Linked DNA regions of Lonchura striata. The protein of the gene in region 3 binds, or shares a complex with, the protein of the main gene of each other region. Links are inferred from orthologs where the notes say so. Each region holds a gene or a part of one and is shown on either strand. Other genes may lie near its edges.

The links.
Region 1: USP39 (region 3) and LSM5 share a complex: the UniProt entries of both Homo sapiens proteins name them as parts of the U4/U6-U5 tri-snRNP complex. The link is inferred for Lonchura striata from reciprocal best matches to the Homo sapiens genes USP39 and LSM5.
Region 2: USP39 (region 3) and LSM3 share a complex: the UniProt entries of both Homo sapiens proteins name them as parts of the U4/U6-U5 tri-snRNP complex. The link is inferred for Lonchura striata from reciprocal best matches to the Homo sapiens genes USP39 and LSM3.

The regions. Positions count from the first base shown.
Region 1 is NC_134642.1:57,675,893-57,679,636, reverse strand, and holds the start of LSM5 (U6 snRNA-associated Sm-like protein LSm5), read right to left. Parts: upstream 2,467-3,744; 5' UTR 2,409-2,466; coding exon 2,363-2,408; intron 1,945-2,362; coding exon 1,849-1,944; intron 1,623-1,848; coding exon 1,595-1,622; intron 989-1,594; coding exon 916-988; intron 1-915. UniProt on the Homo sapiens protein: Plays a role in pre-mRNA splicing as component of the U4/U6-U5 tri-snRNP complex that is involved in spliceosome assembly, and as component of the precatalytic spliceosome (spliceosome B complex).
Region 2 is NC_134614.1:14,624,687-14,628,430, forward strand, and holds the start of LSM3 (U6 snRNA-associated Sm-like protein LSm3), read left to right. Parts: upstream 1-1,350; 5' UTR 1,351-1,374; coding exon 1,375-1,398; intron 1,399-3,012; coding exon 3,013-3,123; intron 3,124-3,744. Other genes in the region: XPC (DNA repair protein complementing XP-C cells), read right to left, coding at 98-231, 417-618, 1,153-1,258. UniProt on the Homo sapiens protein: Plays a role in pre-mRNA splicing as component of the U4/U6-U5 tri-snRNP complex that is involved in spliceosome assembly, and as component of the precatalytic spliceosome (spliceosome B complex).
Region 3 is NC_134634.1:362,163-365,906, forward strand, and holds the start of USP39 (ubiquitin carboxyl-terminal hydrolase 39), read right to left. Parts: upstream 2,529-3,744; coding exon 2,198-2,528; intron 1,602-2,197; coding exon 1,532-1,601; intron 1,452-1,531; coding exon 1,357-1,451; intron 938-1,356; coding exon 801-937; intron 676-800; coding exon 523-675; intron 1-522. Other genes in the region: C32H2orf68 (UPF0561 protein C2orf68 homolog), read left to right, coding at 2,718-2,827, 2,932-3,047, 3,420-3,559.

The DNA.
Region 1 (3,744 bases), on a different chromosome or scaffold from region 3:
CAAAAGAGTAAGACATTTTTGCATTAGTGCCATAGAGTTAAGTTTTACAAACCCATACATGACAGCTCTTACTTTGCAACAAACATTTGAGGACATGAAGATTTCATGCTAGACCACAAAAGTGGCTTTTTGACTCTCCCCTCCCTACAGAGGAAGTCAATTATTTCCCGAGATGCACAAACCAAAAATGCAACAGGGACTAAATCAGCATAGCACATCCTTGCAAAGGAAACAAAGAACTGAAGAACAGAAAAAAAAAAAAATACAGAAGGGAAAAAAAATATTAACCACTACTTTTACTGATATCTTTTTCATTATCAGCTGAGAACTTCTAAAGAGAAAGAGCTTCACTGGTTTTGGGATCAAAATAAGAGTAAGTCTAAAGCATGGACTTCCTCCATGGGGAAAATATGTCCCCAGAAGAGACATGAGATCTGATGCAGACATGTATCTATGTCTTGCTGAAAATTCAGCAGGTTCTTTTTCAAGGGCAACACAGTGTACCCCAGTGTAACTGGATGGTAGGAATTTCACACCATACAGGGAGTCAGAACATATGTTATCCTTTCAACATGCAGAACAATCATCAAAGCAGATAAAAGGCTTAGAAATTAACACAGGATGGCACCTGCTCTGACACACAATGGAGAAGTGCAAGATGGGTAAAACAACACAATGGAGACAACTCCTCATTCATACAGAGCCAACTTAGACTCAAATATTTCCACTTTAGCCCTCCTCTAACCACAAAAAAAAATTGGAAGTCCAGGCTTTGTGGCCAGCTATGCAGATAAGCTACTTAAACTTCCTGATGTAACGGAACTACCAGGAAAGCTCAGCTTAAAGGAGTTGAATACCATCACCAGTCGATTAACAGGCACAGAAAGTCAACACACGCAGCCTCTGATGACTCACCATAGTTATGTTATTTCCATTGAGCAGAATCTGGTCCAGCTTTGTGATTCTTCTGCCCTCAGGTGTGATCTCACTGAAGGAGCATTAGAAAGAGTAAGTAAGAACACAGAACCAGGGACAATGGCTCCAGATTCGACCATAGAACTGACAGAAATCTCTGCATTAAGGTGACCATGGTTGGAACTAACAAATAAATCAGCTACACTGCAGCATGATCTTGATAAATGGAGCACCTAGGTACAGAAAGCTAACTGAAAAGGTCTCTTCTACTCAGTACATGGAGATGTGTATTCACCCTCTACAGGCTGACAATTTTTTGAATATACATATCAACATGATATGATAAAGTAAAAACATTTAAGTTAGCTACCTCGCTGAATATTTGCCTAGGTCTTAAAGAAGTGTAAAACCAAATTAAGTACTGGAAAGTTTCTCACACAACCCATGCATAATTAGGACTACAAATAGGATCCCCATACAAGTATAAACCACGCAATAGCTACTCTATGACATGGCTGTCCTGAACAGATCACCTTCTATAGTTTTAAGTCCAATGTTAAACTAGTTAGCTGGTAATTATTCCATAAATGTAGAAACATTTTTCTAGCAGACCTTACATAGTGTTTTGTTTCAGTGAACCAAACATTAAATAGCAACAATAGGCAGAAAACGTACTTACAATTCTGTAACATCTTCTAGCACCATATCTGAAAATCCAGTTTCAAGGAAAATAACGCCCAGATTTTAAAACTAGACTAATTAATGCTATTTTCATCTTAGGCCAAATGCAATTTTACCTGAAAGTTGAAAATACCAGAATACAACCAATCCATATAAAAAGGTTCTAGTCAGTGAACTAAAAACTCTGAAGAGCTATAAATCACTTAGACCAGAGCATGAATCAGACAGACTTAAACATCCATCAAAGGATACTGACAAAGTCATCAAATCCTAGAAGTGTCCCAACTATTTCTTTGTCGCTTTTCATCACGATGTGAATGCGTGAACCGATGCACTTGTCCACAAGTTCTGTAGATACACAGAAAAGCATAGGTTCTACAAAGCAAGTGTTTCGTGCCTTACGGGTTTTTTTCTGCTTATTTACACAAACACAGACACATTCCACACAACCTTACACACTCCCCCTCTACTCTCCCACACAAACCACCCACCCCCCCGATCCTTACACCCATCCCCACTCCCACTGGCCTCCCTCAGACAGTCCCACAGCCCCACACCTCACCTCAGCCCCCCGACCCCAACACCCCCACACCTATCCCCCACTCCCATCCTCCCGGGCCGTGCGCGGGCCCCGCCGCCCGGCGCTCCCGCTCCCCGCCCGGCGCCAGCGCAGCTCGGCTCCCCAGAGGGGCCGCAGCCACCGCGGCCCCCGCACAAGGACCACGGGCCGGGCCCCGACCGGGGGCCGGGAATCCCCCGTGGTTACCGAGCGGCAGGAGCTGGGACGGGTTGGACACCGCGCTCGCCGCCATCTCGGAGCCGGCCCTGGCCAATGGCCGCCGCCTCCGCCCACAGCGACGGGGCCGGGCCGGCGGCCGCACCGCCCCCGGTGCAGGCGGGGCCCGGGAGCCGCGGGCTGCGCTGCCTCCGCGTACGGACGAGACTCGAGCGGGGCTCCCTCTTTTCCCTCTTCGTTCCCGTGCTGCCGGCCCAGGCTAGCGGCGCCGGCGGGGCTGCCGCCATTTCGATGTGCCCCCGCGCCAGGACCGCGGGCTGTCTGCTGTGCGCCGGAATGGCTCAGCTGCTGCGGCACCACGGAGCGGGCAGGTTGGAAAAGATCTCCCACGAATCCCACCACGTCAGCCAAAACATAGCACTCAGTGCCACATCCAGTCTTTCCTTATACAACTCCAGGGACACTGACTTTACCATCCCCTTGGGCAACTTCTCTGTGATTCTTTCTAATGTCCAACCTAAACCTCCCCAGCACAGCTTGAGGCTGTCCTCTCGTCCTGTCACTTGCTACCTGGGAGAAGGACACCAACCCCTGCCTGCCTCTGTGTACAACCTGTTTTTGGGCACGTGTAGAGAGTGTTGAGTCCCCCAGGTTTCTTTTTCTTGACACTGAACAACACAGCTCCCTCAGCAGCTCCTCGGGGAACTCGAGCTCCAGTTGCCCTCCTCTGGATTCACTCCAGCACCTCAATATCCTTCTTGCAGAGAAGGGCCTATTGCCAGATGAAGAATTGTTTGCACAATGGGTGGGTTAATACAACGCTTATTCTTCAAAAACCATTGACCTATGGAACTGCACAATGCTTATTCTGTAGGAAGAAGAATTGGAAAGCAGCCAGCCCAGTTGTGCCAACTTTTACCAGTTCAATAAGCCATCAGCTGTGACTTTGGTGTCCCTGACCACCAGGGATTACCAAAGAGACCCCCAGGACAGAGCACATGGAGAGAGGGGAGGGAACGTATGTTAATGACTTCAGGGAAATGATCCTCATATATATGGTTCTTCTAGGAAATCCTATCAATATGTATGTAAAATACAGCATGAATAAGATTTCGGAGGACCTATCCCGTCATGCATCCAGATGAATAAAGAATGCTGGCTTCTTAATGCTACATTAGTGTTAAGGAGTTTTTATTTTCACTGACTTTTGGTAACAGGCCCACAGCTGAGCACAGGATTTGAGGTGTGGCCTCACCAGTGCTGAGCACAGGGGAACAGTCACTGCCTGCTGTTGCTGGCCCCTCTGTTTTATGTGCAGATTTTCACCCCCCACATTTGTCCGTTGACTCACTAGAGGTGGCCATGTGGGAGGTTTTTGAAGCCATTCAGTAACTTCATCCCACCACCATTCC
Region 2 (3,744 bases), on a different chromosome or scaffold from region 3:
ATTACTGTGGGATGTTGGTCACCTGCTGTTGAGGAATCATTGTGATATACAGGCTCTTAAAAAAAGTGCTTAACATGAAAAAATATGCAATTGTTACCTTCCACATCCTCCCATTCATCTTCACTTTCATCATCATCATCATTGTTGTCAGTATTGTCTTCATCCATTTCTTTTTTAACAGGAGATTCTGTCTTTAATTTTATCTCCGTCTGAGGATGCTTCAGTGAGTCACTGTTAAAATCACAAAACAGTGGTAGCACCAGGAAACACAGGTGCTTGTTTATCAAAGACTAAAAATAGAGAAACAAATCAAGCATGATCTCTGCATCAGTAACAACCGATTGAGTATTTGACCATCAAACCACAGAAAGAAGTAAGAAAAAGGTCCTATAGACTTGAGTGATAAATAAATTTACCTGCATGTTTCTTCTTTGATAGAATTATCTTTATTTCTAGCATTCTTTTTACTTTCTTTTATTTGTGATTTTGCCTCTTCTTGTTTTGAAAGTTTGGAAGTTTTTGCTGAGTTGGAAACTTCAGTATCACAATCATCTCCCTTTTTCCTAGCTGGAGCTTTTGAGGTCTTTTTTATACTGGGCTTTTTCTCTTCAAAATCATCTGCAAATGACAAAAGAAATGAAGATTAATGTTAGAGGACAGAGTTTCATCTCCATGGCCATCTGAAACAATATCTCCATGGCCTTCATTAGAGGCAGCTTCAGAAGAATGCGAGCAATCACAATGCTGAGCATGTCATTGTTTGTTTACAAACAAGCAGGATTTGAACAGTGAGACTTGTTGGAGAGAAATACCTACATAACTCACAAGAAGTACCTAAAGATTCCTACAGTCCTACCGATGGAATCGGCGGAAAACCAAGCATCGTGCTTGCCACTCATAACAAGTTATTCTCGCATGCCGCTGCTCAGGAGAGCACGGCCGAGATGAAACAGCCCCGCACGGGCTGCTCAGCCTTTGGCAGCGTGGGGGACGAGTCACACGCGGGTTTAACGCCTGGATAACGCAGCGATAACATCCATCTTCCTCCAGGCCGGCGCGCCCGTCCTTCCCGAGCCGACCCCGCGGCTGGAGCGGCCCGAGCCGCGGCGGCGGCGCAGCTCCGGCCCGCCGCGGCCTCCGTGCCGCACTCACCCTCCTCACCCTCCTCACCCTCCTCCGGCTCGTCCTCCGGCGGCCGCCCGGAGCGCCTCTTGCTGGCGGCGGCGGGCCGGGGCGGCGCTCGGCGCTTCCTGGCCATGGCGCGGGCCGGCCCGCCCCGCGGAGGGCGCGGCGGGCAAGGCGAGGGAAGGGAAGGGGAGGGAAGGAAGGGGCCGGGCCATAAAGTCTCGCGGGCGGGCGCGGGAGGCGCGTTGAATGATGGCGGATGAGGTGGACCAGGTGAGCGCTCTGGGCTCCCTCGGGCCGCAGGGGAGGCAGCTCTGGGCAGCCCGGGAGCTCTCCGTGCCGGCTCCGAGCTTGCGCCGCTGCCGGGCCGCGGGCAGGGCTCGCTGCAGGCCCGCCGACCCCGCACTGCCCGCGGAGGGGAAGGGGGAAAGCCGCCGAGGGCAGTGCCCCGGGCTCTGAAGGACGGGGGCAGCTAGAAGGGAAATACGGGATGTGTATGGAAGATGTGGAGGAGGTCGTCACACTTTTTTTAAATTGTGATTCTCGAAGTGCGCCTTTCGCCCAGCAAGGGGCCTCAGGCCGCTGGGTGCTGGGGTTTCACGGCAGCCTCGGGGCCCGGCCTGGCCGCGGTGAGTGTGGGGGGCAGCGTGTGCCCGGGGCACCCGAGGGATCCCCCCGGGGTGTGCCCGGGGCACCCGAGGGATCGCCCCGGGGTGTGCCCGGGGCACCCGAGGGATCCCCCGGGGTGTGCCCGGGGCACCCGAGGGATCCCCCCGGGGTGTGCCCGGGGCACCCGAGGGATCCCCCGGGGTGTGCCCGGGGCACCCGAGGGATCCCCCCGGGGTGTGCCCGGGGCACCCGAGGGATCCCCCCGGGGTGTGCCCGGGGCACCCGAGGGATCCCCCCGGGGTGTGCCCGGGGCACCCGAGGGATCCCCCCGGGGTGTGCCCCGGCACCCGAGGGATGCCCCCGGGGTGTGCCCGGGGCACCCGAGGGATCCCCCCGGGGTGTGCCCGGGGCACCCGAGGGATCCCCCCGGGGTGTGCCCGGGGCACCCGAGGGATCCCCCCGGGGTGTGCCCGGGGCACCCGAGGGATCCCCCCGGGGTGTGCCCGGGGCACCCGAGGGATCCCCCCGGGGTGTGCCCGGGGCACCCGAGAGATCCCCCCGGGTGTGCCCGGGGCACCCGAGAGCCCCCAGGGTGTGCCCGGGGCACCCGAGGGATCGCCCCGGGGTGTGCCCGGGGCACCCGAGGGATCGCCCCGGGGTGTGCCCGGGGCACCCGAGGGATGCCCCCGGGGTGTGCCCGGGGCACCCGAGGGATGCCCCCGGGGTGTGCCCGGGGCACCCGAGGGATGCCCCCGGGGTGTGCCCGGGGCACCCGAGGGATGCCCCCGGGGTGTGCCCGGGGCACCCGAGATCCCCCGGGATGTACCCCGGCACACGAGAGCCCCCTGGGTGTGCCCAGGTAACTCCCTGTGCCGGCACCGCAGGCAGCGTGGGTTCGGCTGGTTCAGCTGTGCCGTGCCACGGCACAGCTATGCTGCTGGTTCCTGCAGTGTAAACTGTGGCTGCCGGTAGGAAAAACAGTTCACTGCTTATAGAATGGTTTTTGTGATGTCCTAAAGATCATCCAGTTCCAGTCCCCCTGTGTGTAAAGAATGATTTGCTGCAGGCTAAAATGAAATATTTTGACTCGCATTGCTCAGGGCTGCGGAGTGTCAGTGGAGTGGTAAATCAGCAGCACTCAGGTTCTCTAACATGTCATGGAGTAATTTGAATTATTTGCATCTGTGTTTTCACTCCTTTGTTTTCTGTGTCGCACATTGAGGAGTGGAAAAGCTGACAGGCTTCTTCTGTACAAATAATGCTGCTTTTTTTTTTTAGCAACAAACAACAAATACTGTAGAGGAGCCACTTGATCTCATCAGACTCAGTCTAGATGAGCGAATCTATGTCAAAATGAGGAATGACAGAGAGCTTAGAGGCAGATTACATGTAAGTAAAACTTTCACAACATTGTCATGCTCATCCAGCTAAGCACTGTGCAGCCTTTCTTTATGTACAACAGTCTGTTAAACAAGTTTACCTGTAATATTCCACTGGTTGTTGAAAAAGTTAGTTTTAAAACATGAGTAATTGCATTTCCTGGTTGAAAGTGCAGAAGTGGTTGGAGAAAGTAGGTTAAGAATTGTCTTAGTTACCAGAACTGTAATGTGATTGGTGGAAAAATCTCATTTCCTCAGTGCTTTGTCAGCTATTAACTGCTTCCCTAGAAAATCAAGAGATGTATTTTGTTCTTCTTGTCTCCTGAATGATACCAAGCAACAAATTTCACTGCTTTTGGCTTCCATTTCTCTGTCTGTGAAATAAGCAATAATGCTGCAGGCCTCTTCATATGATGTACCCTGAGGCCTCTTCTAGACTGAGGTCATTATTATCAAACAAGAATCCCTTAAGGCACACCCTGGGAGGTGTGATGGGACAGGTGCTCAGCTGCATTCTCAGATTTTTGCTTTCTGTAAGTCAGTCAGCCTCCCTGAGTGCTGTGCCCTGCTGGGAGGAGAACCAGTTGCCCCATGAGTTAACTGGGCCTCAACTCCTTTGGAAGCACACAGA
Region 3 (3,744 bases):
ATTCAGCCCTGGGACCCCCACAGGAGGGATCTGGGAGGGGCTTTGGGGCAGGCCCTGCACTGCCATGGGCGGGGAATCTCCACAAGCCCCCAAGCCCCCATGGGTGGAGAAGCCTGGGAAGGATCCAGAGGTGGGGTGATCACCCCACAGAGGGGTTTGGGGAGGTTTATGTGGGGCTTTCACCCTAAAAGGCCAGCTGCACCCCCCAGGTGTAACACCTGTAGAAGAGAAGGTGGGATCCACCCTCAGGACCCCCAATGTGGGGTTTGAGGAGGATTTCAGAGGGGATTCAGCCCAAAATGAAGGCAGCACTCCCCATGTGAACATGCTGTGGGAAAAGAGGTGGGACTCATCCCAGAGAGCACCAGAACAGGATTCTGGGAGGGTTTCAGCCCAGAATGAAGCCTGGACACCCTCACAGTGTACAGCCCATAGGAGACAAGGTGTGATATCTGCCTGTCAGACCCACAGTGATGTTCTGGGGCGTTTCACCCCAAAAGGAAGCCTTAACCCAGGTGTCACCTGGAGCACAGCGTTGGCGTAGTCGTTGGCCTTGATGTTGTTGAGTCCCACGATGCCAGGCAGGTACGTGGTGCCATCGTAGGCCCGGGACAGCTTGGCCTGTTTGTCCAGGTGGGCAATGTGCTGGGCTGTGAAGGTGGGCTTGAGCACGTACTGTGGGGGGAGAGAGCCCTCAGAGCTGGGGGACCCCAACCCAAACCCCTCAATCTGGAACAGATCCCAACCCCTCGATCCTGGAGGTCCCAAGGCAGCCCCGGTGCCCCCCAGTGCCCCCGCACCGTGATGTCCTCGAGGGAGGAGTCGATGATCTCGTAGTTGTCGGGCAGGCAGTAGAACTTGAGCGTGTGCAGGTTGAGGAACACGTGGTGGCTCAGCTGCACGCTGTGGATGTAGGCGTGTGACTTCAGCCCGCGGCCTGTGGGGGACAGTGGCACCAGGGATGGCACCGAGCGCCGTGCCAGAGGCAGGGGGCACAGAGAGGATCCCCTGGGCACGTACGGGGGCTGTGCCCACTGGAGGGTCCCTGAGCACCCCAGCAGCCACCCTGGGTGTCCCCATGGTGTCCCTCCCCTCTTTGTACACCTTGGCAGCAGCCTGTCCCTGGCTGTTCCCTGTCCCTGGGTGTCCCCAGCAACACCCCAGACCCCCTGTGCCTCACCCCAGTCCCTGGGTGTCCCCCTCACCACCACCCCTATGCCCAAGTGTCCCTCAAAGCAGCACTGGGGTGTCCCCCATCACTCCTGGGCTCTCCCTCGGGTGTCCCACATCACTCCTGGCTGTCCCTCGGGTGTCCCACATCACTCCTGGCTGTCCCTATGCCCCAGCAGCTCTCACCCTGGAAGTACTTCCCGCAGACAAGGCAGGCATAGACGTTGATGTGGGACAGGGAGATGGAGCAGAGCTTCTCAAAGTCGAAGTCCAGGACACTTCTGGGGGGCAGAGCGGTGTCACGGGGCTGGGGGGCAGCTGGGGGACCCCCAGGGGCACCCCAAAGAGCCCCGTCACCCACTTGTTGATGGTGTCCAGGTAGGGGCAGTGCCGGCTGCGCTGGTCCTCGGGGTCGAAGCGCCCGTAGCGCACTGGGGAGGGCAGGGTGTGAAAAGGGGGCACGAGGACCCCGAAAACACGAGGATGATCCCCCCAGCCCCCTCTGTGACACCTCCAGGGCTGAGCCTCCAAACCCTGCCCAGAGCTGAGCTCAGGACCCCGGGACCAGTCCTGGTGACCCTCCAGTATCAGAACCCCCCAAACACCCCACTCCCACCCCAGAACCCCCCAAACACCCCACTCCCACCCCAACCCCCCCCCCCCAAATACCCCACTCCCACCCCAGAACCCCCCAAACACCCTCAATGTCCCCTCACCCCCGGTGTCCCCTCACCCCCGGTGTCCCCTCACACCCCAATGTCCCCTCACCCCCGGTGTCCCCTCACCCCCGGTGTCCCCTCACACCCCGGTGTCCCCTCACCCCCGGTGTCCCCTCACACCCTCATTGTCCCCTCGGCCCCGGTGTCCCCTCAACCCCAATGTCCCCTCACACCCCAATGTCCCCTCAGCCCCGGTGTCCCCTCAGCCCCGGTGTCCCCTCACCCCCGGTGTCCCCTCACACCCCAATGTCCCCCCAGCCCCGGTGTCCCCCAGCCCCTCGGTCCCACCCGCTCCTCCCGGTGCCCACCGGCGGGCTCGGGCTCGGGGTCCGAGTCTCCATCGGGCTCCCGCTCCCTCTTCACCCGCACGGGCGCGGCGCTGCCGGAGCCCCCCCAGACGCCGCTGCCGGTGCCGGTGCCGGTGCCCGGTTCCCGCTTGACGCGCGCCAGATCCACCGGCAGCGCCTCCGCCGCCTCCCGCCGCGCGCGCTCCCGCTCCGCGTCCCGCCGGCCCCGCGGCCGCTCGGCGTCGGCGTCGCGGCGGCTGCGGGAGGCGCCGCGGGGCTCGCGGGGCTCCCGGGGCTCCCGGGGCTCCCGGGGGTCGCGGGAGTCGCGGTCCCGCCGCCCCCGGCTCGACATGGCGGCGGTTCGGCCGCTGTGCGCATGCGCGGCGCGGGGAAGGGGGGCTCAAACCGCCCGCCTTACTCCGCGCATGCGCGGCCGCCGCTGCGGGGAGGAGGCGCTACTGCGCCTGCGCGCGCGCGCCGGGCCCGCGGGGCTCTTAAAGGAGCCGCGTCCCGGTCCAGACCGCGGCCGCCGGTACCGGGAATGGAGGCGGCGGCGGCGGCGGCGGCACCGGGCTGGCGCTGCCGGCCCGGGGGACGGCTGGACATGAGCCACGGCTTCGTGCGGCACATCCGCCGCAACCAGCTCGCCAGGTACCGGCATCCCCCCCGGGACCGGCGTGCGGCGGGGTCACCGGGCCGGTTTGGCGGTCCCGGGCCCCCGCAGCCGGTAACCGCGCTGTGCCGCCGCCGCGCAGGGACGCGTACGAGCGCGCGGTGCGGCAGGCGCGGGGCCGAGCGAGGACGCGGCTGACCCCGGGCCCGGCGCGGCCCCGGCGGCCCGACCAGCCGGTGTACCGGCCCCAGCGGGGCGGCGGTGAGCGGCACCGGGGCACGGGGGCACCGGGGCACGGGGGCACCGGGGCGGGAGAGCCGCGCTCCCGAGGGACCGCGGTGCGGGGAGCCCGGGGATGGGCGGGGAAGGGGCGGCAGCCCCGGGGACACCGGGGTGGGGGGACACCGGGGGTGGGGGGGGACACCGGGGAGCGGAGACACCGGGGGTGCGGGGACACCGGGGGACCGAGGGTGGGGATGGGGACACGAGGGTGCGGGACACCCGGGGATTTGGAGGGACACCTGCGATGGGGACATCCATGAATTGGGGACACCCGGGATGGGGACGGGCACCGCCGGGACGCTGTCCGGTGGCCCCGGCGGCCCCGGTAGCTGAGGCGCGGTGCCGCAGGCGGGCCCGGGGCCGATGCCAGCGCGGGGCCGCCCCCCGCGGGCGGCGGGGCCCCCCCGGAGCCGGCCCGGGGACCGCGGCTCTTCTGCCTCGAGTACGAGGGGGACGACGGGCGGGTCACGGCCGTGATCGTGCACCAGGTGCCAACCGGGGGCCGGGGGGGGATCCCACGGGGCATCCCGGGGGGTGTCCTGGGGGTCCCCGGAGACAGTGGGGGTGTCCTGGGGGGTCCTACGGGGAAACCCGGGGGGTGTCCTGGGGGTCCACAGAGAGAGTGGGGGGGTCCCACGGGGAATCCCGGGGGGTACCCGAGGGGGGTCCGTGG